Neodiprion lecontei: one gene and its partner. Each later gene encodes a partner of the first gene's protein in a complex. Links are inferred from orthologs where the notes say so. Each region holds a gene or a part of one and is shown on either strand. Other genes may lie near its edges. The genes, in order: probable Rho GTPase-activating protein CG5521 and ral GTPase-activating protein subunit beta.

Region 1 (16,267 bases):
TCCCTCGATCATTCTCAAAGAACGGGGAGCGCGTAGCGAAAGATTGAAACTGCAAACCGCACTAATTGCAAGAGAGAATATATCGCTTTGTTTCAAATTACGATACCAAAAAATTGTGGTAAATGGCAGAGTTTCAATAATTACATTAATAAACGTTCGAATATTGTCGTACGTATCAAAAACCGCCACAAGAGAAAAAAAAAAAAAAAGAAAAAAAACAACCGGTACAAGTAACTATTTATTGACGGTGATTGATTATACTTGCGTCGCTGTCAAATTTTCTGATAAAAATTGAAACGTTTATCTGTTTGATTGGTTCAAGAGATCGTTTTGCTTTCGTTTGTTCTTTTTTTTTTCAGTCAATTTACACGGTAATATAAAAAAAGTGATTGTATCGACAAAGAATAAATAAACGACGTTAAATTTCTTTCGCAAATATTTTTACGGAATACCGTATAAAAATCTGTGTTATATAGTAAAAATTTTACATGTGGATAAGTTTGCATTTTGCATTTATTATTATTATATGTGTGTATATATATATATATATATATAGATAATCGCAGTAGTAGCAGCAGCAGCAGCAGCAGCTTCATTTTTGTTACACGGCGGTCTTCTTCGGTCACGCGTTAAGAAGAAGAAGGAAGCTCAACCGATGTCGAAGATAAGGTACGATGTCCCCCTTGCTCCCCCCCCCCCCCCCTCTTTGCCGCCCTTCAGGACCCAATTCTCCTCCTCTCATCGCGAGAGGAGCTGCTACCTTGACCGTAGTATATTTTTGGGACCCTAACATAAGGCCCACGTAATCCACGGGGACGTCGACCACGTCGCGACGAATCTGTTCCGGGGGCTCAATGAGCCAGAAGACGCCCGTATATACCTATGTAATATTATGTACACGCACATATAACATCATGGATATATATATATATTCATATATGTATATGGGTATTGTGTGAGTCCGTGTGTTCGTAACCTTGCTTCTTTTCTTCCAACAAGTCCACCGTCGCGGTGCGCACGCAACGTAAAAACAGGGAATAAACGTACACATGTACGTAAAATGTATGAATGTAATATACGACGTGTGTATAATGTACAGGCAAGTGAATATAACGAGCTTTGAAAGCTGCGTCTTGTTCCAGTTTTGCGGACCGTCGTCGTATGCCTGTATATAATTTAATAACGCCGAAATTTGTTGTACGGATGGATCTAAGGTCGATATGTGAAGTTGTGAATTCCCCCAACCAGTCCGCAGACTCTGCGAAATTTACCGGCGAACGAATCTCTCGCGTTATAACGATCTAAACCTTTCAAATCGCATTAATAACCCAAATCAAGTTTCAATACGTATATACGTGTACACGTGTTTGTATTCGTGTATCCTTGTGAACATTTGACAGAAAAACAAAAAAAAAAAAAAAAGTAGTAGAAAAGAAAAGACAAACGCCAATTTATGCAGTGAAACAGGATGTGGACGGTATTCGATACGTCGTATGGATGCAGCTGATCGATTCACCGTCGCAAAGCGGAAGTCACATTCTGACAACCTTACAACGATTAGGATTATCCAGATTAAGGGGACTGGTCTGCACTTTGGTTCTGTCGGTACGTTTGGGATTATGGTTACATATCAGATTCGAAGTATCATTTAAGAAGCACCACCCATATATTCGATATTTTATCGTTCGGTATAATTATGAGAAATTGGATCAACGGTAAGATTTCTTTCAATCTTACTCCTTCGGTACATCGATTAAAGACTGACGAATTTCTTCCTCAGATTCATCGAAATGGTATCATCCCGATTTCCCCATCGCAAATCGATATCTTGTTAATCATGATTGCGTGATAATTCGAAGGGTCGATATTCGCCCGCGGTTGATTCGAGTCGAGACTCGGTGTGGCCGCAACCGGATCATCGAGTAGGTACGTGGAGAAGGACGAAGGGGAAAGGAGGAAAAGGGGGAGGCTCGTGTTTCCGCCTGGTCGAGCAACAATGCCCGCAGACAAATGAGCATCCCGCCTCCATTGTTCGTTACATCGGCACCACCGGGCACCATCACCACGCGGGTTGGTTTGGATATTCGAACAAGAAGAAGAAGAAGAAGAAGAAGAAGTGGAAGTGGAAGAAGAGAAGAAGTAAGGAGGAGAGGACGAGTCGCGACGCAGGTACCGGAGAAGCGAGAAGCAGAGTAGATGAGATGAGATGAGATGAGGTGAGATGAGATGAGATGACGTCAGAGAGGAAGGGGGGGGGGGGGGGGATCGACACGTCCAGTGGCCCGCGAACGAAGAGCCGCACACCCGGTCGACGAATGGGACCCGACTGGGGGGTCTTCGATCAGACTGACGATGCGGGCCAGCACCGATTAAACATCGGATGAGAAGAAGACGCGACTGTTTCGTCAGTATCGAGTCACCGATTAGTTATTCCAGACATTTTTTCATTCAATTTTTTCTAAAAGCACAATACGGACGAATGGTGGTTCGTTGGTTATAAAGAGGAACCGAAGCTGTTGAGCTGTCGATATGCTTATGGACATATATATATATATATACTGCGGAGGGATAAAATTTGATTCAGTCATATGTCGCGATCTGAAACGCGATGTTTTCTAATGTTTTTTTCTGGTTACAGAGGGAGAGAGAATTAATGGCTGCGGGTGAAAATTTAGAAAGACCAAGACATGGAATAAGGTGACAATATCGAATATTTAAAGAAGCGAAAATTCAATTTGGTAAAGTAGAAAATGTTGAATATATCGAAGTACGGGGAAGTAAAAAAATAGAAAGGTCAGAATATATATATATATATATATATATATAATACCAAAATGTAGAAACGTCAGAATTCGTGTCGATAATATATAATTGAATAAGATTCTAGATTATATGTTGTTCTATAATGTTTTGTATTTCCGTATTTCGACTTCCCGCACTGAAACCTTCTGAATTTCGATAATTTTGATTTAAATTTTCACGTCTTTGAAAATTCTACATCTTGGATACTTCCATCGTTCGGTCATTCTTTTATTTTTCACCTCCACCCGATTTAATATCCCGAATTCTTATAGTGCATTGCAGGCAGTGTGCACAATGTAAGGAATAAAATAAAGGGCACTACAGGTTGTGAAGAAACGAGAAAATAAAAATAAGGACGCGGTTCATGCGCCGCCGCTGGAGGTAAGAAAGATATTGCGAGGATCGTGGAATTAAGAGGAGCAGAAAAGTGAGTGGAGGGGAGGCGGGGATATAGTCGTAGGCCTAAGGTGGATCGAATTTCTCTTATCCAGAAGGCGGCTGAGCCGTAAGCCCACCAAAGAGCAAGGTGTGCTCTGGCGGTGCTTGCACCGCAGGGATAGACTAGGCTCCTCGCTCGCGTCGACGCATGAATGGGGCCTCCTTCGCGAGGACGCGACGCGAACGAACGGACCCAGACATCTGGTCCCGGGTCTCTCCTTGCGCATAACGCGTTCTACCACAAGGCGGGTATAACGCGACCCTCGCACAGTCTTCTTGTATTAAAAGCTAAAAAACACTCCGCATCCCCTTCTCCTGGTCTTAATTACTCCTGCGGCAGGTCGAGGATTACGCGTATACGTATAGTATACTTCTTCGGTTTCTATTCTCTTCTATACTCTTCCTCATTTGTTTTTTTCGCAACGGATTTCAGCGTCAGGCGCACACGCGTATACATTCGTACTTGAATACCACATGGAAAATCGGTCATGCAGGTTAATTTTATTATACAGATAGACGCAATGCTTTTTTCACGTAGCTTATAATGTGTTGGCTTATCCGATGCACGACGTGACGTTGCGGGTTTTTCATTCGTGGATCGATTTCTTATGCATACAACCTTGATTATATGCATGTATAGTATATCCATGACGTATGAAAAAGAGAGAGGGGGGGGGGGGGAGGGAGAGATAGAAAAAAGAAACACGGGGATACCCCGAACTGAACGAGGAAGCTAAGAAGAAGAAGGCGGAACGAATTACTAAAGCCGTGCAGGTCTGCCGGGAGTTACTATTAGACGTGCATACGTCGTACATGGGAGAAGAGGGACTTCCGGATTCGCCCCCTACGGACGCCCCCCGCAAGGGTAAACAGTTTTTTTTTTTTTTTACCACCGCCCTTCCCGCTGCGGCAAAACAGCCGAACGACGGTCGTTTATTAAGGGCGCTTTTTGCGGCCCCCGTTATATGCATGTATATATATATATACACTCTATACGTGTATTTCTATATAATATACGTCGGTTCCGGGTCGTAGATTTTACCGGAAATCGACCATCGGTTCATCGGATTATCCGCAATGATCGGGAACGAAAATCGCCCCATGCAAGCAGCTTATATGGTATATAATATGTAGACCTATAAGTAATTTACACGATTCTAAATAGTTTATCACAGACGTACGATGAAATTCGTTGTTTCTGTATTCAAGAGACGGACAATCCGCCGTAAACAGAATCAATATCTTAAAACGAACAATTTATAGATTAATACGAGTGTGCCTGATCGACGTGGAAACGGGAAACTGAACCTAACCACACTTCCACACTGAAATTTCTACCGTCGAGACAAACTATGTCGAATACAACGTAATCCATCATCACGGAATCAAATGTTGATACTTCGCGGGTTTCTCGTAAGCGGGTTTCGATTTCTGGTGCTTGACGCGTTCTTGAAAGGCCTTCAAGTCCGCGGTCAGTTCCTGGTAAGACGGCGGCACGGAATCGGCAAATTCGGGCTCTACCTCCCTAATTATGGTGTAAAAACAATTGTGATCACAAGCAGTTATAAGACAGAAAGCGACGGAATGATGTACGAACCGAAATATTTATAAATAAGTAATTAAGTAACATACGGAATAGGTATAAATATAGACACACAAAACATACACATGTCAAACCGTAAAGTAATAACTTGCCATCGGAATAAAACTTTTGTAGAAACAAAAAAAAAACAAAAAAAAACGACTCCATTCACACAAGCATATAACTGCTCAGGTGCGGAGAACTGTGGATAACATCGAACAAAAAAAACATGCACATTTTACATACAAAAAGCAAAAACGATCTTTGAATAAATCTATATCCAAATCTCACTGATAATCGAAATGGAAAAACCTGACTCACATGTTTTGCTCCTCGCGAACGCAGCGTTTGCAGGTGTTACTGGCTGACAAGGCGACTCGGTCCAGTCCCAGCTCCTTCAGGATCCTCAATTCGTCGAACCAAATCCTCCTCCTTTGCGGCGATTCGGAACCGGCACAAACTCCCGAACTGTTGTCATCGCATCCTGGAATCGTCGAATCAAGGCACTTGTCGCACCGAACTGACGAGTCCTTCGACCAATTCACTCGCGACTCATGGCCATTGCCTGCCGACAAATTTTACCATGTATGTTCGCAGCTTACTTCAGAGCGCTCGAATTAAGCATTGATCAACTGAAAACTCCGCACTATAAGCACTAATGTCTTCTTATCGCGGCGTTTTATTTCGTGTTACAAGTAAACGTTACACATTCCTGCCCGAATTTAACGATTCAGCCAACTCTCGCGTGCTTTAACAAGGGTTTTTTCTTTCAATTAAAGCTTGGTTGTCGAACGAGGATCGAACTGAGCTAACAAACCGACAATTGAACGACGCATACTACCACATCCCGCGCTCTGTTCAATTGTTTTTAAAACCATCGACATTATCTGCGTATAGATTTAAACTTGCGGTCGCGATTCGAACCGGAAGTGCATTGAATTACGAAGATTGTTGCGTCGGAGGGGTGAAATAATAGAAATATGTCGAAATAAATATACCCTCGGATTATTACTTGTTTATAAAAGCGCAAATTCGTTGGAAAGGGAGATTTAAGTCACGGTGTTTACGAAGCGACGCCTTTAGTTTCTTTTGTTTTTTTTTTTACATAAAATCGATCTATAATCGCAATATGCGGCTTCGATAATCCGTCGATATGACGAAAATAATAGATTTTTTTTACTAGGTTAATACTACTTAATAAAAATGTATGATTTGTTTTCGTTCACCGAAAACATTGTACTCAAAATACAGGCGTGTCATGTATTTTCTACGGAACCTGCAACTGCAAGCCATTCTTTAATCATGCAAATCATCGGATGGATTCAACGAATACAATTAGCGTTAACGTTTTATTCGCTTGGCTGCAGGTTACCCCTACCTTAGCATGTACGTTATATGTCGTTTAAGAAAAATTTAACTATCTGTTAAAATAGATCGGGAAGCAATTACTGAAAATACTTCTTACGCAAACACGCCGATCAGGACCATCTAGCTTTCATAGTCAGACCTGTCTCGAATGCGGAGAATTCTCGTCAACGCTGTTCTATCACCTAGGGGTTAAACAGCGTACCCTGAGCCGGCCGAAGGGGAACCAGTTCTTTCTGACAGTCGATAAACTCCCAAAAAGACTTTATCTTCGCTCGACGACTCTTACCGCCGCCCCTAGTAAAATCTAGCTCGATACCGGCCACCTCGCTTCCCGCCATGTCGCTTCTCGGTCATTCTCTGTCCGTTTGTTTCTCGCTTTGCGCTTGTTTCTTCTCGCAGTGACCACGGAGTACGTAACTACTAGTCAGCCTTCGATGGGCTAACTTCGTTACTTTTAAACTTGTCTTACTAGTTGTGGCGTCGACGGTTGTGGCGCTAGCTTCGTTCCCATGCAAATGGCGATATCAGGCGATCGAAATTTTGTCCGAGCTTGCCTCCTTCGCTCAGTTTTCGCTTCAGTGGCGCAGCAGTTGGCAGCAGTGAATTAAGTCGGCGCGCCAAATTCAAACTCACATACCGCGGAACTGTTTCTACATTTTCCTGACACACATTGAAAAGGAAATTCGTGCTGCTAATAAGCGAGAGTTAGAATTGGATCAGTATTTAAAAATATTTTAAAGATATCAGGTCGCAGCTGCTCGGTAATATTGAAAATCGGAGTAATCGGAGTGATCTAACGATGGGTGATGTCATTACCCTGCTTTGGGATCTGGCAAGTAGGTTCGCGGCGAGAATCAAGATGGCTGCCACATGCGATTAACGATACATCGGACATCCGACTTGTGCAGTGCGCTCGGTCCGACACACTGACATTTGGTACATGTATTAGCTACTTTTTTATACCGATCCGTCAATCGTACTTCGGGGTGTTTTGTCGGGGTAATTATCATTGCGTGTAACTGATGAGGAATATTTCCAATCCGCTCGATGATAGTATCTCTCAGCGAGTCCGCCGGCGACTCGCATTGAACGACAATGTTCAGCAAAAAACTTCACGTAGACGTCAAAAAGTCAACACTCAAGATACAGGATGTAAAAAAGGACAGCGCTACGAGGTTTAAACATCTGAAAATCGTTCTTGGTGAGTATCTGGCATTTCCTACACTATGATAAATATCTTTTTACAAACCTCCCTGCCTGCTGTGTCAAATCAGATGGATACATTTGATTAACCAAAACACCTTTAGGTTCCAATAACCAACAGGGTGTTATTTCACATTCTCTCTTTCTCTCTCCCCCCCCTCCCTCTCTCTCTTCCACATCTATTTGAAGAGAGACTTCTGTTGGTCTTTACACCTACGCGATTTTCATCACAAATACCTGTTTTCTTTACGCATAGTTGAAATCACATTTGTTGTTGTAGAATAAAGGATAGTTGTCAAAGCCTTTAACGTCAGCGAAGACACGTCGCGACGCAACTCAGACCCTGATCTGCATTCCATTAATATCGGTGTATCACATGGTCCGATTTGATCTAAGATTTGCATCTTTGAGTAAACACATAAAACGATCTGTCCTGTCTATATTTGGCATCGACTAACACGATTGCATGTAAATATTTGTTTTGTACAACAAGAGAGAGGTGCTATATATTATTTTCAATCTTCTCTTATTCTGAAATACAAAAAGTTGTTGATGTAAATAAAAATTTTCAAGTTCCTTTTGTGTTTAATTACCTATATTAACAAAATCCTTGATATTGATATTTGCTCAGGATCCTTGGAGAAATACAAAATATTTTGCAGTAAATGTATTTACTTGAAATTACTTGGTGTTTATTATCATATTATACATTCTTATGTTGTTCTGCATTTCATGTTAGATCGGATTATTCCATAACAAAAATTACCGATTCATTTCTTCGATTACATGCTATAATTTTATAGTAAGTTTGAAATGGTTTTATTTATTCGTATCAAGTCAAAGATGAATATTGCCTTGAAAAATGACCATGTATATGACCATGATTATGAGTCGTCCTTTACAAATTGAGAGAACTTAATTTTTGCCAACTGGTTATTATTCTTTGCAAGGTAAATATGAAATCTGAGCAATTGAAACCGAGTCCAAACGTACACGAATTGATTTTCGAATAAATATCTCACCAATTATTCCACCAGGCAGATGTGGAATATTTAGTAATCTGTAAATGATGGCTCTTCTAGTCTGACAAAACATTGTATACAACATGTAATTTTTATTCATTTTTCCTGATCCTGAAATTTTTACTGTCGGCAAATTGCTAGATACAAGCACTTGCTGCCAGTGTGAATGGCAATAATAAAAAATGCCTAGAATAAATAAAACACCTCTGCGTAGTCCTGAGGCAGTTGTGGTCAAACAACATTATAGTAACTGGTTGGTATCTAATCACCGGACCACATTACCAAGCTGACCACACAGCTTGGTTCGGCCTCCATCTGGAGCTAAAATTACTCTTCACTGTTAAAAACAGATAATTGCATATCAATAATTTTCTCAATTCGAACCGTCTTGCTGCAGAATTTCCTCGTTTAATTATTTTTATGTTACATCCGCAAGACTTTCTTTTCTCATATCATGATGTTATCAAATCGTTTCAATAAGTTAATCCCAAGTTCTTTTCCACGAACAACAATCTGTTTGCCCAGTTGTAAGTCTCTAGTATTTTATTTTTCCGATGCAAAACATTAGAAAACAAAGGATGTTTTTACCTTGACGATATCAAGGACTTGTAATTTTTTCTCAGAAAAGTCGAGCGGCTCATTACACTCTTTTTTTCTTTCACTGTATTTTACAGAAAACGTAGACACGGATGAAGCGAAGGGTTTCTTCGAGGGGAATTTCAGTCATGTATACTTCATACTGTACGACTGCTTTGTTTCCGCGGAAGCAAATTTACGCCAGCGTGGTAAGTTTTCTAAACTTCTTTTATTCCACAATGTTATGCGCCGTTTACTGCAAAAAGATATACACATGTGTATGGAAACATTCTTTATATAAACAAATACATCAATGACAACATTGGTTTCATCAATGGGCATTTGTTAATTAATTTATTGTTGCCTGTTGTTATATTGTCACAATTATTAATTCTGTGTATTCGATAAACTGTGTACTGATGACAATTGTTTTTCTCTATTTTCCCCCTCTATCACTTTGCTGACAGAACTTTCCTTTCACCTCGGTAAGTGAAACATTTTTGCCGAGCATGCAAAATACCTTGCATATACTATATATATATATATTTTTTTTATATACTTTTTTTCGCAGTCGAGCAGGTCGTAGAACTTAGAATTGTGTATGAAATTTATATGTAACGCACTGCACAATGGGATGAACTATTCTCTTATAAAAATATCTCTGAATTCTCCTACTTTCTATGGCTCAATTATGTAATAACTGTAATATTCTCAAATATGTTGCTATTCGATCGTTCGTTTTTTTTTTTTTCCCATTCGTTTGCACTTCTAATACAGATTTCCATCGTCGCTAATAAGTTGCATGATCAAATATGAGATTGCACGGAAACGGCAGTAACGATTCCCCTTTCAAAAATGACCCATCTCAGAAAGCGATGACTTGATAGATTGATGGCATGATTTTCTGTGTGTTGAAAAATAATCGATATAAATCAGGAGATACAAAGACGTTTTAGAATTGACCTGTAAATATAGATTTTTTTCTGCAAACAGTTCACAAGGCGCACAGAGAAGAGCTGGAACAGGTGTTACAGCTTTTGGAAAAAATACTGACACTCCTTCCTGAGCTTCTGAATCGAAGATGGCAGTGCCACAGCCTTGCCAGGATATTGAGGAAACTTTTACACCCAGGAAACAGCTGGAAATTACGTCGTCAAGCCATAAGGTTTTGCAAAATTTTATGGTCTCATTGAAATATTCCGATTTGCTTCCTGTTTATTACTTTCGCAACAATTACGGATCCTCAAATTCTGCTCATTTATCGCTGCAGATACTTCATACTCTGGTACCAAGCGCTCGGCGACAATGCTCCGGAACACATACATCAAATGTTCGCCTGTCTGGTACCCGGCTTTCCACCAAGTCAGGCATCGCCCTATAAGCTTGAGCGTAAGTCGGATAACAAAAAGGATAAGCCAACGAAATCAGCGAGCTACGATGACAAGGAAAAGAGAGAATTCTATGACACGCAATTGGGACAAAGCATTTTCCATGACACCGGGGTAACTCAAGGACCCATCAGCCTGGTTGATGGCGGGCCAATTTTACCGCCGCAGAGCGGCGAAAAGCCACTGGACCACGAAACCGTGCGGTTTCTTGAAGCTCTACTTGACTTTATGGTTAGCCAGGTATATGATCGTGGATAAATATACAATTGGAACCCTATTCTGTCGCCCGTCGTTTTTAATTTTCTTTTTTCTTCTTCCTATGATTACAGGTTGTCAAGGTCGAATGGCGAGACAAACACGCCAGACAACACAAGGCGTTTCAATTTCTACTGGAACGATTTAAGGCAACTTACTTGCGATACATCTGCCCAGAGTTTAACGACAATTTTTCACTGTACAAACCGAATTTAGAGCTTCCTGGAATGAGGAAACCTTCCCCTAATCAAGGCCAGGACGTTTACACACTCTGCAAAGTTACGCTTATCAAATGGGTCGCTAAATATACTCATGTCACGAAGAAGGATGGTCTATTGTTGCAGCCTTTACCAAAGTACGAAACAACGAATGATTGTTACTTATGATTGCATGTTCAAAAATAGTTCTTTTTTTTTCGATCCTCTAAGGAACTGATCAATTGTTTTTATCTCATCAGCACGACAACTAGTGATGAAAATCCAGAACCAGAACTTCGGCGTGTATCCGTTATCCAGAATTCAACGGATCCAAATACTTTGTCTCCCGAAGTTGCTTCCCAGCATGAAAACCAGGAGGATAACACTGTGCTGGCCACTAATCTAGTGCGAGAAGTCTTCTACGGGAACCGAGACAATGTTAATTTCGTTCACGAACTTTACAGACAAGCATTTCTACTAGATTTCACTCACGCTGGTGCTATAAGAAAGGCTATTGCTGTTTACAAAGACTGGATACAAATGAATGTAAGCTATTTTGTTGAAAGCTAGTGGAACTTGAATTGATTGCTTCGAATTGTAGTATAGAATTTAATTCGTCAACTATTATCGTCAGGAACTTCCATCATTCATGCTAGAGCCCTTGGAGAGTCATAAGGACAGAGAAATTGAAGATCAAGTGAAGAGGGAGGCTTTAATTAACGATCGAAGTCCACCGGAAAGCTACAGACAGACTAGACTAAGAAACGATTCGTATCTTGGAGCTATTCACAGGGAAAATTTGTTTGTGAGGGCTGGATTGCAAAATGTTTTACAAGTTTTTGTAACACAAGCTTCAAACGTATTTTTCTTAGAAACGCCAGGGGGTAATGCGTCCGCAACTCTGTTAGAGGAACAAACTGATAGCTGTAAACGTGTGCTAAATGTTTATCGCCACGTCGTTATGCAAGTCAGACTTGAACCCGCCACCTGGGAACAATTACTTCGGTGAATATTTGTTTCAGTACACAAATTGACACACGCCATAACTTTTTCGTGCTTGTAATCTGAACTCATGATTTATTACTATCGACAAACCTTTGGAATTTTGCATTTCATTCTTTTAATTGTTATTTTTCAGAGTATTACTACAGATAACATCTTTGGTACTAAGCGACAAAACATCGCGTAGAAAACAACAAGAAAGTATCGGCGGTAAATTGGCGCCGGCGATATTTCAGACTCTGATAGTAACTTGGATCAAAGCTAATTTAAACGTTGTTATATCTACTCAGCTTTGGGACCAATTTCTCGCCGTTTTAACTTCCCTAACCCAATGGGAAGAGCTGATTCGTGAATGGGCTGTAAGTTGCGAACTTGACACAACACACACCCTCCACTAAAGTCCCAAAGTGGTTTGAATTAGTATTTTATTTTTATTTTTTGTTTTGGATCACTCAGTCACGCATGTAAAAAAAAATATCAGTATTCGACGCTGGTTGCAGATAATTTATAGGGAAAAAATATTCAATTAACATTAGTACCACTTAAAACTGTAGAGGTAACTTATTACTTATCCTTGATACATGGGAAAAAAAATCCCATTACCTGAAGTGTTTACAAATTTAAAAAATCTCAAACTGCTTCGAACAGAATAATTCGTAAAATTTCAATTCCGTAATATGATTTGCAGAAAACTTTAGACACTCTAACCAGAGTTTTAGCAAGACATGTGTACAATCTTGATCTCAATGATCTACCACTGGATCGGCTTAGTGAGCAAAAGTCAAAGAAAAGACGAGGTATCGGCAGCCGTGCCGCTTCAACGGGATGTGTTCAGCCCCAAAGGAGAGGAAGTGTTGATCATGAAACTGGGGCAACCATGAAGGACAGTGTTACTGGTGATTAAAAATATGCGTAGACCATTTCGACCATTTTAAAAGCCTAAACTATTCGGTGTAATCCAATTTCAACTCGAGCTTTCTCTCAAACCTCGCAGATCATCCACTGCGCGACCCTAGAAAATTCCGTCCGCTTCCGAGAAGCGCTAGCGATAACACAATATACAATGGGAAAGGAAAAATTAAGCTGCACAGACATCGCACTCACACTATACATTCCGGAGTTCCTGGTAAGTTGTATGATCACTCGTTAAATTTGTCGGTAGGCTTGATGATTCGCTGATGTTTTTTTCTTCGTTGTGAGTCTACAATCTAATCGCCATCGTGTTCATACTCATATTCAAACATGGATGCATATAAAACAGCCATTTTGTTGACCCTGGTCTATTTATTACCTTTATTCTTATTTTATTTTTGTCATCGTAAATATTATTATTATTGTTGTTTATTTCCCGCTTTTTCGGTGTGTCATCATCACTGGGATAAAAATAATCGACTCTTGTGTCAAACCTCCTTCATCGGATGCAGCACAGTTTTAAATCGTTTTTCACTTACGTTTATTTATCATATCAGTCATCGCCATTTCAATTATTCAAGCAGTGTTTGTTGGTGACAGTAAAAAATGTTGTTTTTTGAAACTCTACTGCACAATTTTTTTCAATTACGTATCTGTCTGCTAAAGTGTCCAATGCCTCTGCTCTAAAATTAATCTCACATTGAGTTTAAGTAATAAAATGGATAATTATCCAATGGTGGTATATGGGACAGCAAATGTGAAAATATTGACTGTGAATTGAATGGACTCGCATTAATTCGGTACTTGCGATTAACGAATCGTGGTGATATTGTAGAAGAAAAAGTAGGCACATCGCAATTTCTGATTGCGGTATATACGATCATTGTGAACTAAGCGTGAATTTCCTCGGGCAGTACTCCCCTTGTCAATAGAGCAAGATATGGCAAGGCTATTGTCCACTACTGCTACGACTACAACGGGTAACGAGCCTGCAACAACAGTATCAAAAATGTTACCAAGCAGACGCACTAAGTCATTGGACAGCGTCGTTGTCGTCGACAGCGAACCTCCATCTCCGCGCTGTCCTTCGCCTACACCCAGCAGTGGCGTTGATAGCAACAAGGATAGTCCAATACAGATAGAAAATATTGATGGGAACAGCATTGGTGAGTAGTAACAGCATCCCTAGAATATGAAAAACAAACTGCACGGTAATTTTAGAATGGCAGTGAATTGAGAATTGTAAAAAAATGATTATTCTTTCTATCTCACTTACCGAGATTAGAGTATTTTAAGATATAAAATAAGCGTTGCTGTACACGTTTAAGCGCAGTTTGAATCGACAATATTTTTCGTTAAATATTCAATAAGCAACAATTTTCTTATCGATTCGAAATTGTAAATACAGTCTTCAGACGAATAATTCGACGTTTGTAACGATTTACCTAAAAATCATGCGTACAATTTTTTGGTAATTACATATTACTCTGCTCGATGGATTTTTAGGAATTTCTGCGAAATGTTTACACATAACGTCGTAAATACATGAAGTAATTTAATAGCTGCATTAGCACGCTCCGATAAAATACCACATGGCTTAATTCTGATAACTACTTTACGGCAGGTTCATTTACTATTAAACATCAACATGGTACTGAGTGAAATTGTGTTACTGGGAATTACAAGCCTTGAAATTAGAAATTTAAACAGGAAAGTACATACAAATGGCTTATTGCCAAACGCAGGAAGAATTCAATGTTTCCTTTTGATTGTACTAAACCTCTTAGTTAAAGCAAACTGGAAGTGACGCTTGACTGAAGATGGTGTTTTTATAAATTCTACTTATTCATTCACTTACGCAACTGTAAGTGGGAACTTAACATTTAGATCATTCACTCTTACTTCTTTGATAGCTTGATCAATTCGTGCATCTAGAATCTTTCTACTTTATTGCTTGGACAACAACAATGCCTTTTTCGCTTAAAAAATTACTCAAGGGTAAGAAGTTTTTTACGTTTGTCCTTTCGTCTGTTTTAGTCTCTCTCTTTTTCTCTCTCGCTCTGTCTCTCTGCCATATTCGATTTGCTCAATACATTGGCTAATTTTTATTTGCTATTACTGGGAAATCGTGTTTATCATTATCGCTTTTGAAAAAAATTTTATTATAAAATATACATTTCGTATTCTTCAAACAGCCCTCAAGGAAATATATATTTTATTTCTGATTATGTGAATTCGAAAGAGAGAAAAAAAACACGGTACAAGTTCTTGACCTACGATACTAAAGAATTGCTTGAAAATTGAATTTCGAAACACTTCGGTTTAACATTCTATTATTGTTGTTCAGATACAAGCGATGTATCGGAAAGACGATCAGTTATGGCTGGAGGCGGAGTTCCTGGTTGGCTACCAGACGTCGCTGTAGCTTTATGGCGACGAATGCTATCAGCATTGGGCGATGTTAACAATATTCAAGACCCAGCTCTTCATGGACAAGTTATGGACTACCTTGTCCAGCTGACTCACACACTGATAAAAGTGAGTTTCACAGTTATAGACTCGTTTTCAAGCACCCGGCTAATTAATTCAATAATTTATCTTCGCTTCAGATTCGTTTAAACCAAGGAGTGTCCGGCGACAATCAAGGCACACCTCCTGTACCAGACTTAATTCCACCATTGACTATAATCGCTCCCTGGTGCTTCAAGGTGCGACAAATTATTCACTATTCTTGTCCCCTTACTGTGCAAAAGCAACTAAATTGTCTTGTTATTCTACTCATTTGCAGGCGATACAGTTGCCGCAACAGTATGAAGTTGGAAGGCTAGCCGCATATCGTTTGATTTGTCTTCTCACTGTTCAACCGATGGACATATCTCTTCCCAAGCCACATTTAACGCTATTTTACCGCGCTGTACACAACGGAATAGTCAGCAATAACACCAAGGTTCTTCACGCTCTTGTAAAGTACACGGGACCCAGATTATTCAGCCTCAATCTGCCTGGTTCCAGTTTACTAATTCTCGACTACATCCACGCAGCTAACGTCATACTCAACAGCAACGACGTTGAGGTGAGACTCGTCGTAACTTTATTGCTGTTAGTCAGTGTATAATAAACTTTTGGCACATTTACAGGCGCCCAGAACAGAAGCTGTTTCCATATTGGGATCGCTGCTCTCACTACCAGCTACAGTTGCTAAACTTCCAGTATTACAGCCCTCTGGAAGCGATATCGTAACAGTAACGTGCCCCGATGCGAAGGTAAGGAAAATGTCTTGACAAGTTTTCTGAAAAGCCAAAGTTTAAAGTTTCAAGATTATATTTCTTTAATACCGCGTAAGGTCTAACAACGATTGTTCAAAGAATGAGATGATATCATGTTTTAAACTCGAAAAGGAGCACATCGTGACGATCCTGATCAGGAGTTGTCGCAGAGAACCAACGGGTGTGGCAAGGTGTGTCGCACTTTCCAGCATCGGCATGTTTGTCTACAGAGAATTGTCGCATAAAACGCAACATG
Region 2 (16,070 bases), on another chromosome or scaffold:
TAAATAACTGCGTATAATTTTCGGCAGTAAGTGCTCAACTAATATTATCATCAAAATTTAATGACAATAATAATAATAATGCTATTCGTAAATGACCCAAATAAATCTGGTCCATAAGTCACTCAACGAAGCAACGAAATTTTACTCAATCGAGTGGATTGAAAATGATAAATATTGCATACACCTCAAAATCGTTTCTAGAATATGTTCAGTCACTTGTCAATCTCACAAAATCATGTGAATGGACATCCCGGAGCCCAATGCCCCCTGTTTCCGCAGGAATAGCAACTACCATATCCACCGTAAAGGGCACCAATTCGACCTTCTATATAGTCGTCCTGTGGTTCGCTCCAATAATCCTCATATCCATCGACTATTCCCGACCAGCTATCGTCGCTGCTGTGGCCATCTGAAGTCAGACATTGAGAAAAGATTCATGAAAGAGACCTTAATCGCCTTGCAAGTATCGCATAAAAAAAATTTCTAAATGGCAATACACCCTTTTAATCATCTTTTTAATTATTTGCCGAAAAAATATGCAAATTAATGTTCAAAACCGTAAATTTCAATAGTGAATGAGTCATTACTGACTCATCCTTTAAAAATTCATTCCAATACTTTAATCATGAACGGTTCAGCCTTAAATCCTTCAGTTCGAAAACACATACTATACACAGGATCGGACATACCTGAGTCGATTGAGATGTCCATGTTTCCGGAGTGGCTCTCCGGATCCTCAGAGGTCTGACTATAGGAGTAGACGGATGAGAGGGAGTTGGTATCCTCACCGTCGCCGTCTGTTGCAAACACAATCCAAAAAAATTGGTATTTGTGTGCCATTCATTTGCCAGGTCAATAAAGATAGAAAATTGTATATACCTGTCGACGTGCTCCACGTTGAACCGTCATCATCATCGTTGGTCTGTTGGGTTGTATTACCTGAACCCTGGGTGGATGCGGGTGTCTGTTCATGATTTGTGGTACCACCTGAAATAAATATAAATTGAAGTGACTGATAAATAACGTATATTGTGTTTTCTCAAATACTATCAAAAATCAACCCCATTTTTAGTTCATCTTACTGAAACCACATTTTGGTACACATCTTGTACCAATCATTGAATATACCATAACACATATGTACATTCCAAGAAAGCTCTTCAGTACTCATCAACGAATGGTAAGACTACTTCCTAGAATAGAATGGAACAGCACAACACAATTTCTGCAGGGTAATGAGGTCCTTTCTTTTTACACCTACCACTACTTGAGCGTTGTTGGCGATGTTGACCGCTTGACCCTGAGGCATTGTTCCAATCCGGATTGCTACCGCTTGTCCTGCCTGGGATGTGATTGTTACCGGCTGTCCGACTGTCAGATAAATTTTAATCGCTTGATATTTTCATAGTTATATGATTCAATTTTCATACAGTTATGCGGTTTATCTTTGAATAAAATCTCTTTTTTGTCCCGAGGGTCTAATTCGAAAAATACAGTATATCGATTATGAAAACCTTTTAATATTGTCATAGATGTATTGCTGGTGAAACTTAGGTAACAGGAAATGTTACTAAACCACGTACAGTCTCACGTTCATATAAAAACAATAATAAGTTCGAACATATTCTTAAACAGGCACACAATTAGATATGTTAATTCTAATAAGGAGAAATAACTTGGCCAAATCAGACGAAAGTTGCTTACAAACTTGAATAATATGGTAACTATCATTCTTGTTTACATGTAAACATTTTTCAACAAGTAAAATCAACTTCAGGATGTAGATAACATTAACAAAGCCATGTCGAAACATGTGAAAATCTCAATCTAAAGTACACGAGACTGTCATAACGATAATTAATTTTTTAACTAATTATTGACAAAGGGAAGCCATATTTAGTAAGAAGTACAATATAAAAGATTTTGAGTGTGTATATTATACATGCAATGAAAATTCCATTAAAAAATAAATTAAAAAAAGCATCAGGAATATTAAATTGTTTTCACGAAAAAAGTAAAGCACCAAGAGGCTGGCGCACATTTCGATTATACGTAAAAATAAAGGAAACTAATCATGAATACAAGTTTCGAACTCCTCAAACGCAAGGTGGTTATTTTTCATGGGTTGGTTACATATTTCAACATTTCAGTAGATGGCGTCTTTTTAAATTGAGATGGGTAATACAAGTATATGTCGATTTGAAAAATTCACCAGAAATTTCTACTCTACTCAATGTGAATGAATAAACGGTACATGTATACATCGCCCTACGTAGTAATGCGATTCGAATTAAAAGCTCATGTCAGTATCTATTGTGATGAATTTACACACTGACCTACTGACCTAGTCGCTGCTGTAGAAGTATTTCCAGTACGATTAGTATTTGTATTCGCGTTTCCTCCCCTACCTCGGCCTCGACCTTTCTTTCCACGTGCTTGATTCGCCGGTTGCTTTGCTGCCCTTTCATATTCTGAAAAATATTAGTTTAAAGCTGTGAGAAAAATGTAGGATATATGGCATCTTGATTTCGACTTCTGATGTATCGTATTCTATATAAATAAGATTAGTACAATTAATTACACCACCTACCAGTTTATTGTGGTATAAAATTTCAACAGATTTCGTATGATGGATACACTATCATAAATCAATCATAGCATACGATTTGGAAATACTAATCGTTCCACCGACATTCACTGTCAGATGGTTGTAACTAATTTTCCTTTACTTAAAGTCAATAATACCTAATAGAATCAATAAAACCCACCGTTTTGGAAAAAAAGGTATGTAATTTATACTAAAAACAATTTTACAAATTATAATACAGTGCAAAACTGGTAGGCGTTAGATTTTACAACAGATAGAGGAAGGCCGAGTTTACCTCTCCGTTCTTCAACAATATCTGTCCTTCGTTTCTTATATTCCACTGACAAGTTTTCCACCATTTTGTCAATGAAATTGTCTAAAACCAAAGATCGATTCATGGCAATTATTGCCGTTCTGCACACCGGACATTCTTTCTTTTTCTTCTCCCAAGTATCTATGCAGTACTGACAAAATGTGTGAGTACAATTCAGTGTTGTTGCTTTTACGAATAGTTCTGAACAAATACTACATGTCAACTGTTCATCCATGATATCGCCAACTTTGTTGAAGACGTCTTCATTAGCTGACACTGTGCTGCTCGGTGGAGCAGCTTTCTTCGTAGGTGTTTCTTTAGTCAAATCTATCGTATCTAGAATCGTCAGATGTGACTCATCAATAATTTCAACGTTTTCTGCCACAGTACCGAGGGCGACAACTTTTGCAGCTGACTCTGCTGAAAAATAATCATGACTAAATTATATAACAAGAAACATTTGATTTTTTTTTTCAGATTAACACTGCCACAATTTCATAATAAACTTAAAAAGGATACAATTTTTATTCTTAATAACTTTGAGAGAAAAAAAAAAAAATCAACTATAATATGTGTAGATGCGAAATTTGCGTTCACGTAAAAAACAACATTACCTCATTAGAATAGGACAAGAAAAATTATGCAAAACTGAAGTGGCTATTCACGATTTTTTCAATATTAGTCATTTACTCCAGATTTGAGATGAAGAAATGACTTTAATCTATTTTACCCATCGTACCCACTCAACTATACTTTCCACAGTAGATAAAATTACCATTTTGTTTTTCAAGAGTAGTTTGAAGTTCATTGGCTTTTGATTCTATCTTGAGTAAAGCATCTTCCGTCTCCTTAAGTTTTTGTTCGATTTCAACCTTTTCACTCTGTAATTTTTCAGCAGTTTTCTTTTCTTCGCTGAGTGACTCGGTTAGCTTTTTGCACTCAATCTGTTGTTCATTTTTCAGTTTCTCCAACTGTTCTTTCATATTATTGACCAACATCTCTTTTTCTTTCCTACTAATCTCCAAGGCTTCTTCCAGCTTCTTTTTCTCCTCGTTCAATTTTGTCTCAAACTCTTGCCTCTCCTTATCTAATCGTTCCGACAACTCTCGATTCAGTTTCTCAAGATTCATTTCGGCCTGTTTGACTTCCTCTATATTTTTTTCCAGCATGTTGATCTGATTGTTTAAATGATCCTTCACTCCCTTTGCCGCTTCTCTTTCGTTCAACAACTTTTGCAGTTCATTTTTCAACTCCAGTTGCTCGTTGTGTTTGGCTTTCATTTGTTCCGCAAGATTATCCCTTTCCATTTGCTGCGATTCTTCAAAAGTCTTTTGCTTCATAACAATATCTTGTAAATCCATCTCTGGCACAGACATCTTCGCCTTCTTGGTGAGCGGCTCACTCTTAGAGAGTAGTTGCACTTTGTACAAAAATTCAGACATCGGACCAAACCGTACAGAATCATTTATTTTAATCGTCCGTATTTCTCCTGGTGCCAACTGATTCCCATTGACAAAAGTACCAGTCGTACTGAAATCCTGTATCGTCCATTCGCCAACGTCTGAGCGTTTGATAATACAATGCTGCCTTGATATCGAAATATTAGCCAGTATCTCGTCGTTCGATCGTCCTCTACCTATTTTAAACTGCGAGAAAATGGGAAATGCTCATGATGTATAAATCATGCTATCGATTCTGTCGTAACTGTATAATGTATACAAAAAGGATATAATTTGGTGGTAAAATCATATATATAAAAAAGAATATATATACTCGGCAATTTGTTAACCTATGAAAAATAGAACACGGGTTCTATGACATGCAATGATTGAAATAGAACTGAACTGAAATATATTAAAGCTAACTGCTCGGCTCAAAGATGAGGAAATCTTTTGTGAGTGAGTGTTTGATAGAACATGGTAAAATTCGTGCATGAAACTCCTGACACCAATAAGAAGCTGGTGAAGTTTATAGTGTGAGTAATGTTATTCCAACTGTAATACCTCATTTTTGTCAATGTGAATGAAACTACTGGGATCGGTATTTTCAACGTTGACAAGCACGGCCTCCAGACTATCAGACATGTTTCTTTTCGAACTATGACTTTCCTGTTCTTCCATCGTGGTTGATGAATGTTCTTGACAATTTTCAAAAACTTGATGGCGACCGCAGCCGATCTTGCGTTAATTATCAAAAACACGCCGAATATCACATCAACATCGGTTAATTCATGTTATAACATTGCGTGCTTTGTTTTGGGAACGAAGAATCGCTCAGGGAACTTGCTTCAAAACCTGCAAAACACTATCCTATTACCGAAGCTAAACTCATGTAAACAAAAGCAGCTCGTGCAGCATAGGAAGTGAAAAATTTCACTCTCTCTTTTTTTTATCGCCGAAACGATAACCTTTCATCACAGCGAATTAAATCTTTTGTATTATCAGTAGTATTTCGAATTAACGCAATTCTGAACCCTCACTGATATTTCACTTATCCCACTTTGAATCGATAAATACACCGTTATGATTTAATGTACTTGAAGTTATGCATCAAACTTAAAATACCGTTGTTTATCTTTGTCAATGCACCTGCAGCAAATTTCTGGCAATGCGCAACCAGCGGAAGTTTATTGTGTGGCGACCTCTGGACAACGACCAGGTTCGCCCGTCGTCAGAGCTGAGAGCAGCGCCCCAGATCGTAAGCGGCAGCGTAAGCAGACGCTGACGTTCCGTCTCTGCGACGAATGATCGTTCGAGAACTCACCACGCGCGCGCGCCCAAGAAAGCAAGACCTGTTACACTCAGCCAGAGCGGTGGCAAAAAGAACCGCGTGATACTTACCTCTGAACTCTTCAATAAACGATAACTCATTATCCGTGATACATCCAGGTGTACCAATCATTCAGTTACCCGTCCTCCCTTGAATAAAGCTAATGTAACAAGAAAGCCAAAATTGTGTTCTCAAATACTGGTTCTCAACCCAGAGTCTTATGCGTAGTTCACTTAAAATGATTAATGATCAGATTTGTTTGGTTCATTTATTTATTGGACGTCCACAGGTTTTCTCATTTTTTTCATTACAAAGAGTTGATTGTTCGGATTAAATTTGTATGACCAAAAATCTGTTTCATCATTTACACCTATCTTTGATAACTCGCCCACACTCGTAGTTTGTTTCTATTCTAGGCTCGTAGTTTTGTTAATACCCATGAAGCAAATCAGCTAGTGCGCATGCGCATTGCGCGCAGAGTTACTTTTGCCAAATTACCGCTAGGTGGATGGATTTCGGATTAGGTTTGCGTTGCTACTACCAGCTTTTCAGCTACACGAGCTATATTCGAAGTTTTCTGGCTGAGTTTGACAGGTCAGAGTAGGAAGTTAATTAATTATTCCTTTCCAATCGTACGTCATACTTGCGCATGGTAATCTATGAATTTAGGCGTATTCAACAGGGTTAATCTCAAGGTAACTTATACGCCTCACAGTCCAGCATTCGATATTACGTTTGACACGTAGGCTATCGTTGATGCAAAGCCCGACACTTGTCAAAGTTGCATGTATAACCTCAATAATGACTGGGCCAAGAAACTCGATCTCGGTAAATTATTAAATAATCGTCGGAGATAGCAAACGAAAGGTTAATGATGTCTTTTAACAATGGAGAAATTACGGCCGAACGATATTCTCGTAGAAAATTAAATATCACGACATCGCATATATGCGTTTCAGAGTTTAATAACCATGTTTTTATTTTCATATCGTAACCTTACCTCTGCACAGGATTCTGGAGGAGGAATGTATTCAGAATGGGCCTCCCTGAGCACACTGGTTCAGAATGGCTCAGAGGACAGCCAGAGCGTTTTAAAAAAATTCCACCCTGTAGCTGGACGAGAAGTAGCGCTCTCGATCGTTCGTCAGCTAGCTACTAATCTTGGCATAACACAGGCAGCTGAGCACAGCCCGTTGACTACGGATCGAGAAGTTCAGTGGTGTATGGAAGTCATTTGCTTCGGACTTTCGTTGCCATTGGCGGAGCATGATACTGTCAGAGACTGTGTTAATGTCTATTGCGAATGGCTATCTGCTCTGTATTCATCGCCAAAAATTTCTGTACCAAGACCCATTGTCGAGGACCCAAATTTTTATGCACGTAAAATAATCAGCCACTTCCATAATTTATTTGTACCAAGAAAGGGAGAAGGTAAGATATGTTTAACACTGTTTTTTGTTGTTTTTGTTGTTAGTTCAGTTGGTGAGATTGTAATAACAAGAATGTCTTTCAAGTTAATACAATATTACTGATCAGTTTAATAATAATTAATTTATAATTACAACATATAAGTCTTTTAGAAAATAATCTAAGCACAGTTTTAGAATCATTTGTCTGTTTTAAAGTTCTATTAGTTAGTTAGTTGAAGTTATTTTGTATCAACTTACAATGGGAACAAAATAACTTTTAAGGCTCAGTTTGAGTAATTTTGCGACTATTTTTGTTCCTTTGACAAAACTGTACCAATTGTTTATTGTCTTACGTAACCCTTATCAATAGACTAACCAATTTTTTCTATATTTCTTGTCCATAGTCTGGCCATTTTTGTACCAGGATTTAGGTAAAGGACTAAACTAACACTTTCTGCACTTGTCTTTCAATATCTTAGGTATCTTGAGTATTTTCTTCATTTTTTGTTGTATAACAATTTGTTACACTCTTTTGCAGGGGCTGACACAATAAATAGACAAGCTGTGCTATGTCACAGGGTGCTCAGAACTCTCCAGCAAGTCGCAAGAGGACCTGCAACTTTGGAGAGAGAAACATGGGAAAGCTTATTATTGTTTTTAATAGGAATAAACGATGCTTTATTAGCGCCACCTGCTGTTAGAGAGGATGCAGGTGAACAGCTATGTGAAAGAGTTCTTGGTGTATTGTTGGAGGTAAAAATTACTCAATGCTTTTGAGAAAAATAACAAGCATTTAAAATTAGTGAAGCTGAAGCTAGCAGCTAGAATTCACAGCCAAACGTATTAAACTTTTCGGAAATAGAAAAATGCAGTTCAGTTTTATTCTCATAATCCTATAAAAGTATTACAGATTAAAGGTATTTAACAAAAATTTGATTTTCGGTCTTCGTTACATTATTCGAATGAACATTAGAATGTTTGGCTGCTAATTCTGGCTGCTATCTTCAATCTCGTTTATTTCAGACCAATTCATGTATGGAGAATGTCACTTTGTTTCAGGTATGGCTCGTCGCCTGTGAACGCAATTTTCCATCTCCTCCACTGTGGCGCACATTACGAGAATCGTGTTTACGATGGCGTCATAGATTAGCTCTGGTAGAGCAATGGAATCGTGTTTGTTTAGCTCTGACCGCAAAATTACTGCAAGTTATGTACGGTCCAATGTTTCCAGAATTAAAAATCAGTAAGTAGTTTCAGATTAAGAACCATCTGCTTGCCGAGATCCTCTTAACTCTAGTGTCCTACATTTGGACTGATCAACGAGATTACTACTTTTTCTTGTTCGAAAATGTGAAATAATGAAACTCTAATTAAATTTTACTAACATTAACGTATGAATTGTCAGAGTTTTGAACATAATGATACAAACTAGGTGACGAAGACGCACACCTGGTACCTCAAACAATGTCTGATGAAGCAGTGGCACAATCGTGGTACAGATTACTACGAACTGTTGGCGATCCAGTAGATTTGTGCAGACCAGCTGTAGTATCTCAAACACAAGCATTTTTGCAGTACGCTATTGCTAGTCAAAACGTGGTTGATCCATGCCAGCATCCCTGCTTACAGGGCTTACCACAAATATTTCTAAAGGCTATCAAAGGTATTGCTGGTCAAGTTGATGCTTTTTTGGGTGAGTAGAATCCCCGACATTATGATTATATTTGTAATATCATGTGTATATATCATAAAATTTACCACATTAATGAATTTCGTTATATCTTCATAAAAGCTTTCAAATATTTGTACAATTTTCGAACTGTACGTATCAATAATTCAACAGCAATATTTCCCATTCCATAAAATACGATAATAATTCAAGCTAAGAAGCTGGGTCTCCATTTCATTACTGTTTGTCAAAGCGGTAGTGGCTACAGTTGTTTCTCTGTTCACTTATACAAATGTGGGTGGTTTGAAGCACGTTTTTCATATTTATATGTATGGGGGAGGCGTTAGTGAAATCCTTTGATTCATTAGAAATGTGTCGATACATACCAACTAGATAACACCTTGATGAAAACTTGATATCTTTTGTGAAATTAGTCTGTATATTCTGTTTTTGTTCAATTTCTCAGTGTATTACAGATTAAAAAAAAAATTTATTACAAAGTATAAATTAAATGTACATATTACATTGTAAAGTCTTATTCAAATTCAAATATCACATACCACTTACATCGCTATCAACGCCAAATCCAGCACTTTCGCAACCTTTTCTACTTTTTGGTTGTGGTCGCATGGCAATGCGAATGTTCCAGGGGTATCACAGGCTTGCTGCTGGGAGGAGTGTTGCATCACTAGTGTTGCATCTGCAAGTGGCGGAGGTGGTGGTGTGGCGGGAGATAAAGCTGGCGGTAAAGATCAGCCACAGCCCTCCCCCACACCACCAACACAGCGAAGACTGGCCAAAAGTTTCAGTGTCACACCTTCTGCTGTTACTAAGGGTATTATTATTAGTGCACTGATTTACCACTACAATTCTTACACCAACTCCTGCATTTATCTCATTCATGATGTAATAGCGCAAGATGCAATACCTTTGAACCTATGAGATCTGCGAAATTACTTTGTATTTTACAGTTATACATACAAATAATATCTATAAACCTATGAGAGCAGCTTCCTGAATACAATTTACTTGTTAGCACAATGCATCACTAGTATGAAACTTGTCTTTGCACGTTGCTATTCTGTTACACAAGATGGTTAGGAAATTCCATTTATTGGCACATTTACCATCTCAGCATATGCCTCAGTTTTTACCAAACTTTTGACGACTCTTATGCAAAATATTTATAGGATTTCGGAAAATCTGTTATAGCTAACTGAAGTGCTTCTTAAAAAAAAATCATATATTTACAACTTATCATCATGTGCTTAATTTTATTGATCAGGAATCCCAAAAGCTTCTCTAATTGGATTAACAACAAGTCGCATATCTAGCAACCCGCCTGCATCGACCCCCAACTCTGGCCCCTCATCAACTTCGAGCATAACGTGTAAGGCTAAATGAGGTTGTAAGAAGCTGCTATAATGGAATGGAACTTTAGATGAGAAAAATGTTGAAAATCATGTTAAAATCTTACCTTTTTAGCTGTAACATCGCTAGGCCAAGACATCAGGCCTCCCTTAGCACCAGGAAGGCCAAAATGTAACAGTATATTACATTTGTTTGGAGAATGGCTTTTCGAAGCAGCTTTTATAGGCACAGATGGATGGTCACAAAATTTGCCTCGTAAGCGTTCATTTTCAAATTTTATATCAATCTGCAAATAGGTTGAAATATTTTTGAATTTGCATCCAAGTCAGTTAACAGATACCTATAATTTGTAAAATTATTACAGAGCCATCAGGTGCTTCAAAGCGTCCATCATCAGTTCTTGTCGATGGACCAAGTTCATTGCAAGAAACAACTAGTGAAATCCCACCATCGCTTGGTATTGACCGTTATGAATCAGGTAGAGCCGAAGCTATGGGAGCACTTTGCAGGATATTTTGTGCAAAGAAGACTGGGGAAGAAATTTTGCCAGTTTATTTAGCTAGATTCTATCAAGCTATGTATCACGGCCTTAAAATAAACGAGGTAATCGCAAATAATCGTCTTTTCTCTTGGATCTCAACAATCGTGTATTCAGATGGGCAAACTTTTATCAGCAATTTACACTACGCTATTCTGAAATGATGAAACGTTCATTTTACATTTTTTAGACACGAGAATGTGGAGAAACTTTGGCCAGTATTTTGTTAAATTCAGCAGACTTATTTCGTCTTGATCTTGACGGTGTACAAGTATTGGTGCCAGCTGTTATATCTGCTTTGGAAATTGTGCTACCAGAAAAGGAACTGAAATTAAAGTCAAATGCTGTGTCCAGAATCGAATTGAGAAGAGCTTCCATACATCTGCTGATATCTATGCTGACACTTCCGCTAAATCTACAGGTAATGGTAACATCCGTTTGTTGGTGAATCAATGATTTCAATGGTTTCTGTAAAAGTTATATTTTGGCTTATGTGTATTTTTTTTTTTTAATCTAGAACTTACCTATCAAGGAGTTACCGTCTTTAACAGCGATAATCAATCAGGAGAAGAATCCAGTGACGTTTGTACAATTAAAACCCAGACTCATGAACTTGCTAATAAATGCATTACAGGTCGAATCTGATCCCTTAAACACACACATGCTCTTAGGTATGATTGAGATATTAGTTGACAAGTTTTATCCAACTCTTCTCTTTCTGCAAAGATGTTTTTCATTTTTCACTGTTATTACAGGGGGGTTGATGTTGAGCGTACAAGACTCGGCAGCTGCTGAAGAGGTTGAACAAGTAACTCAACCTGATACAATCACCAGTGATACTACAACTAATTTGCTATCATCAGGTAATAAGACGTCTAAGGAATCAGTTGTTATTACGATTGAATTAACAGTAATTATTATTTGGGATATTATTTTTTTTAAGAAAGACACACTTTTTTCCGAATTTTTCAAGCAGAACAAAATTTCATTGTTATTGATTGCCACGTTGTAACTGAGCCTTCGCACTGTTTCGTTTGATAAATAGCATGTACTAATTGAAAAGTTAATCAGTTTGCTCAAAGCACAATATTTTTTAAAATAAAGTATGCTACAACTCGCAGGGTTCAAAGAGTAAATTCAACAATATACATGAACAGTGATTCTCAATTTCGATTTGTTATACAAATGAATTTGGCTAATTGTACCATTTTCGTTTTCATCGAAACGTGGTATATTTTCAATAATGGCGGTCTTGCACACTAATCACAAGTTTAACCTGCAAGCATCTCGTTTTATTGTAATTTTTAGCTTGCGATAATTTGTATCGACCGTAAGAGAACAGGTTTGCTACGGTGTGAAATTTGCATTTGATTTTGCAACACAAACACCTGCTCTTAAAACTTTAGTTTTGTCGTAACAATCACCATTTTATCTTTGATTGCTTCTCACGCTTCTGTGACGTGTTGTTTCTCATTTTTATTTTGGGTTGTGTTCCGTTGCGCATTCACCATTGTACCATCATCACCTGCTTGATAGTCGCCAGTGATTCAACAAGTCAAGTAAGCATTTCCAGTGATCTACGTTCACTTGGAGATGGCTCTGATATTGTCACACTTCAAGAGGAAAACTCTGCCTTTGGTAAATACTTTGGTAATTATTTCTGTACTGCAGTACTGAATTGTTGTGCTCTCACCGATTGTCCAAAATGTAATTTAATCTTGACGTTAATATCACCAATTGTAAACGTATTTGACTGTTTATCTACCACATCCATGCAAAACGTTCATCAAAGGAACTTTCAGGCTAAATTCGTATACTGATTTTGTTACAGATTCTGCACATGCTCTTTTTGTAAGAGCCACATACTTGGTATGTCACAGATTAATATCATCATGGAAAACAGACTTGAACATTTCATTAGCAGCATTAGAATTGCTAGCAGGTTTAGCAAGGACGCATATTCGAGAGACAGGTAAATATTTCGGTTTATTCTATGTTGTACTATAACAAGAGATTTGCGATTGTTTCGTACTAAAACATCATGACTAATCAAAACAACATTACATATGTCAAGCAGCTCGGAAGCTAACAGGTTGGACTTCCAATTATGTTTTGTGTAATGCCCAAAAAGCAATTAGCTCCCATCACGCTCTATCAGTTCTTCAGTAAAAAAGTTTTTGAGTTTTTAGGAATATTAGAAATATTGAAAATATCATAGTATAAAGAATGTCCTAGAAATAATTTGAATAAGTTGTTCAAAACCTCATAACAACATATTGTCATAGATGCTCTTGAGTGTAAACGAGCAGTAAAATGGTTGTGTGATTATATCACTTACCAATGTTGGCGACCACCACCAGCTCATTCTAAGGACTTGCATTCATCTATTGTCGCAGCGTTCACTTGTCTAACCACATGGTTATCTGCTCACCCACAATTATTACAAGTTTGTACAAGACAATCAAGACGTTTGAATGATTTCTTATTTATGCCAGCTGAATTGGTTACTAATAACGATAAACATTTACAGGACAAGGATTGTCTTACAACAGTTTTGGAAGTAGTTGAATTAGGTGTGTCTGGTACCAAGAGCATTGGTAAGCCAGGAGAACCAATTAAAATGAAAGATGAAAAAGAATTAAAACCAGCATCAATGCGAGTTAGAGACGCAGCTGATGCACTCCTGACAATTATATTAGAACAGGTAAGTTCTATTCGGAATGAAGTCTGTAAACGAACGATCATGTTAGTTAAATATTTTAATTTCAATAATTCTACAATCAGGTAGGATATTTTCCAAGTGCCTGTGGAGCACAATCTCTTTCTTCCCTACTTGACGAGGTTTTGCTACTTCGTCACTGTAACAGCTGGACGGGCGGCCGCGTAGCTCGACAAGCTGCAGTTGAACGATTCCGTTACTTTGTAGCTGAAAATGCTACGATGCTAGCTCTGCTAGAAGAGCCGTTAGGGAATGATCAGGATCCACAACCTACTGTTACAGTGTTAATAAGAGGTCCATTCGGTCGACATGCGTGGACAATGCAACTTAGACATTTACCCAGGCATAAATCCAGCGTGAGAAGTATGAACTCAAATCCTGGGCGCCCATTGCCTTTGGCCGAGGCTACACCAAGACCAGATTATAAGCCGAGATTTTTCCCTGATAATGTTGATCGCATTCCACATTGTAGAGTGTAAGTAGATATTGACATGCAGTAACAGTTATTCAAATGATTGAACAAGAATTGAGGCTGTTGATTTGGCATCAAGTTAATTATTGATATTCTTGATTGTGGATATAATAGGGATGAGTCAATACCAAGCTTGGATGCAGTAATGAATGATAATGATACAGTAAAAAACGAGCATCATCTTTTGTCACAATTACTGGAGAGACAAATCAATCTGGAATCAAAGTCCAGTAATGATTTGGCTCGAAACGCAGATGACAAGATTGAAGAATGTACCCCGCCAAAAATTTGTCACGAATTTCAAACAGCCAGATTGTTCCTCAGCCATTTTGGATTCTTGAATTTAGACCAAAATGACAACGAAAATTCTACCACCAGCGGGCTCACAGCTTTGGATCCGTCAATGCCTGGATTCTGCACAGACTTGGAAAGTTTGGACCACACAAGTCCGAGAACCTGCGACACAGTACACGTATTTTACGTTCGAGCTGGTCAAAAATCTGCTGAAGAAATACTCTCTAATGTGGTGAGTTCGATTCTTGTCCACTTTTACAGTATGTACAGATTTGAATGAAGAATTCAATGGAGCCAAATGAATACTTGAGGGGTTGATTTTTGAACCTACACCTGAAACTGATATCATCTCTTTTTGTCGATAAATTATACGCAACAGCTACATGAAACGAGCGTATCTCCACATTTTTTGGAGTTCCTGAGTTCACTTGGCTGGCCAGTCTCAGTGTCATCTCATGCAGGATGGACAGGACATGTCTCTACATCGTGGCGTGCTACAATTCCAGTTACTGTACCGCAACCGGCTCATAGCGATCATGGCGGTGCTTTGTATAATGGCGACACGCATATTTTATACTGGGCTGATGTGAGCTCAGAAGTGGCGTTTATAGTGCCGACACATTTGATGGGGAACATGAGCTCCGATTCCATTGATGAGTCTAATTATAATAGCGATATAAGCGGTGGCCAAGGTAATGCAAATACACATGACTTGGATTATTTACTTTTTTAGTTTCATTGTAGCACCTCAATGATACTCAACAAATTTTTAAACAATGATGTGAGATATGAAAATACTCTGTGGTAATTCTCAAAGATTTTTTGAAATATGTTTTAGCCATGCCCATATTTTTTTGATTGGTATAATTTTGTTTCTTTGTTTCAGTTTTGCTTTACCAAATTCTCTGATCCTATTTGTGGCAAAAATTTTCATTCTAGCTTGGTTCGAGCGAAGCGTTAGTGAAAGTGCTGGAACCCGTTCGTATTCGGTTAATCAGTCAGGAAGTCAAAATTCTCGAACTATGTCGTTAGACCTTGACAAACAGCCTCCCAGTTTACCAGGCTCTGGTCCATCCAGCACATCAAGTGGGGATCCAATTAAACCTAGAAGAAGCACGAAGCACAGTCTCCCTATGCAAACTGATACAAGAATATTAGTTGTTTGGCTAGAGAGCTTAGAAGATCACTTGCAATTTCCAATCGGTAAGTGAACAATAAATCTTCGTCCACTCGTTACATCAAAGGGCAATTCCTATTCAACGTTAAATAGTTATTGTGAGGTGAAAATAGAACCTTAAACTGAACATTTGATGAAAGTAAATCGACTAGTTTATTAACCTTTCAATTATCAAGCACAATTGAATGTATGTGTCCGTCACCCATTTTTATGCATTGTTATAAATGTACAGCTAATCAATAACAATCTGAACACTTACTGCAGCTGACCTTCTATCTTGCACTCATACTGGTCTCGAGCATTCCAATGGTGTAAGGCCTTCTGACGTTCAAGTCATTTTTTTACATTCACTGTCGAGTGGTTTGATGAGAGTAAGACTACAAGGCCCTGTATCTAGAATAAATTTAGCTACTCCATTGGTTGATGGCATGGTGCTGTCTCGACGGGTGTTGGGCACATTAGTCAGACAAACCGCTTTAAATATGGGACGTCGAAGAAGGCTGGACAATGATAGGTAAGTGTTTTTCAAAAATGAAGCACACAGATGACTGTTCAAATTTTAGTTAAGAGGTAATTTTGAATGTATATGTACAACTAATGCTAGTAAAAAAGTTTTTGCCTCAACGAAAATAATGCATTTTTCTGGCTTGTGATTATCCAGCAATTAATTATGTATGATATACAAAATATGTGACCACGAAACGCTCGATATTCAAACTTTATGGAACCAATATATGTAATTTGCTTTTTTA

Evidence for each region.
Region 2: probable Rho GTPase-activating protein CG5521 (region 1) and ral GTPase-activating protein subunit beta share a complex: the UniProt entries of both Homo sapiens proteins name them as parts of the heterodimeric RalGAP1 complex. The link is inferred for Neodiprion lecontei from reciprocal best matches to the Homo sapiens genes RALGAPA1 and RALGAPB.

The regions. Positions count from the first base shown.
Region 1 is NC_060264.1:3,474,726-3,490,992, reverse strand, and holds the start of probable Rho GTPase-activating protein CG5521, read left to right. Parts: upstream 1-7,059; 5' UTR 7,060-7,285; coding exon 7,286-7,391; intron 7,392-9,089; coding exon 9,090-9,200; intron 9,201-9,458; coding exon 9,459-9,476; intron 9,477-9,984; coding exon 9,985-10,156; intron 10,157-10,261; coding exon 10,262-10,619; intron 10,620-10,708; coding exon 10,709-10,989; intron 10,990-11,091; coding exon 11,092-11,377; intron 11,378-11,465; coding exon 11,466-11,836; intron 11,837-11,969; coding exon 11,970-12,192; intron 12,193-12,521; coding exon 12,522-12,729; intron 12,730-12,827; coding exon 12,828-12,959; intron 12,960-13,659; coding exon 13,660-13,911; intron 13,912-15,092; coding exon 15,093-15,283; intron 15,284-15,354; coding exon 15,355-15,453; intron 15,454-15,533; coding exon 15,534-15,818; intron 15,819-15,882; coding exon 15,883-16,008; intron 16,009-16,143; coding exon 16,144-16,267. Other genes in the region: uncharacterized protein LOC124294672, read right to left, coding at 4,618-4,765, 5,144-5,387, 6,393-6,528. UniProt on the Homo sapiens protein: Catalytic subunit of the heterodimeric RalGAP1 complex which acts as a GTPase activator for the Ras-like small GTPases RALA and RALB.
Region 2 is NC_060262.1:38,831,685-38,847,754, reverse strand, and holds the start of ral GTPase-activating protein subunit beta, read left to right. Parts: upstream 1-6,370; 5' UTR 6,371-6,425; coding exon 6,426-6,497; intron 6,498-6,517; exon of another isoform or gene 6,518-6,536; intron 6,537-6,679; coding exon 6,680-7,100; intron 7,101-7,482; coding exon 7,483-7,509; intron 7,510-7,616; coding exon 7,617-7,831; intron 7,832-8,137; coding exon 8,138-8,321; intron 8,322-8,510; coding exon 8,511-8,771; intron 8,772-9,396; coding exon 9,397-9,582; intron 9,583-10,032; coding exon 10,033-10,137; intron 10,138-10,232; coding exon 10,233-10,373; intron 10,374-10,482; coding exon 10,483-10,721; intron 10,722-10,846; coding exon 10,847-11,077; intron 11,078-11,173; coding exon 11,174-11,327; intron 11,328-11,411; coding exon 11,412-11,519; intron 11,520-12,141; coding exon 12,142-12,306; intron 12,307-12,487; coding exon 12,488-12,628; intron 12,629-12,733; coding exon 12,734-12,748; intron 12,749-12,941; coding exon 12,942-13,102; intron 13,103-13,186; coding exon 13,187-13,360; intron 13,361-13,440; and 10 more. Other genes in the region: E3 ubiquitin-protein ligase RNF8, read right to left, coding at 234-409, 690-797, 880-987, 1,262-1,371, 2,345-2,471, 2,883-3,320, 3,676-4,546, 4,904-5,020. UniProt on the Homo sapiens protein: Non-catalytic subunit of the heterodimeric RalGAP1 and RalGAP2 complexes which act as GTPase activators for the Ras-like small GTPases RALA and RALB.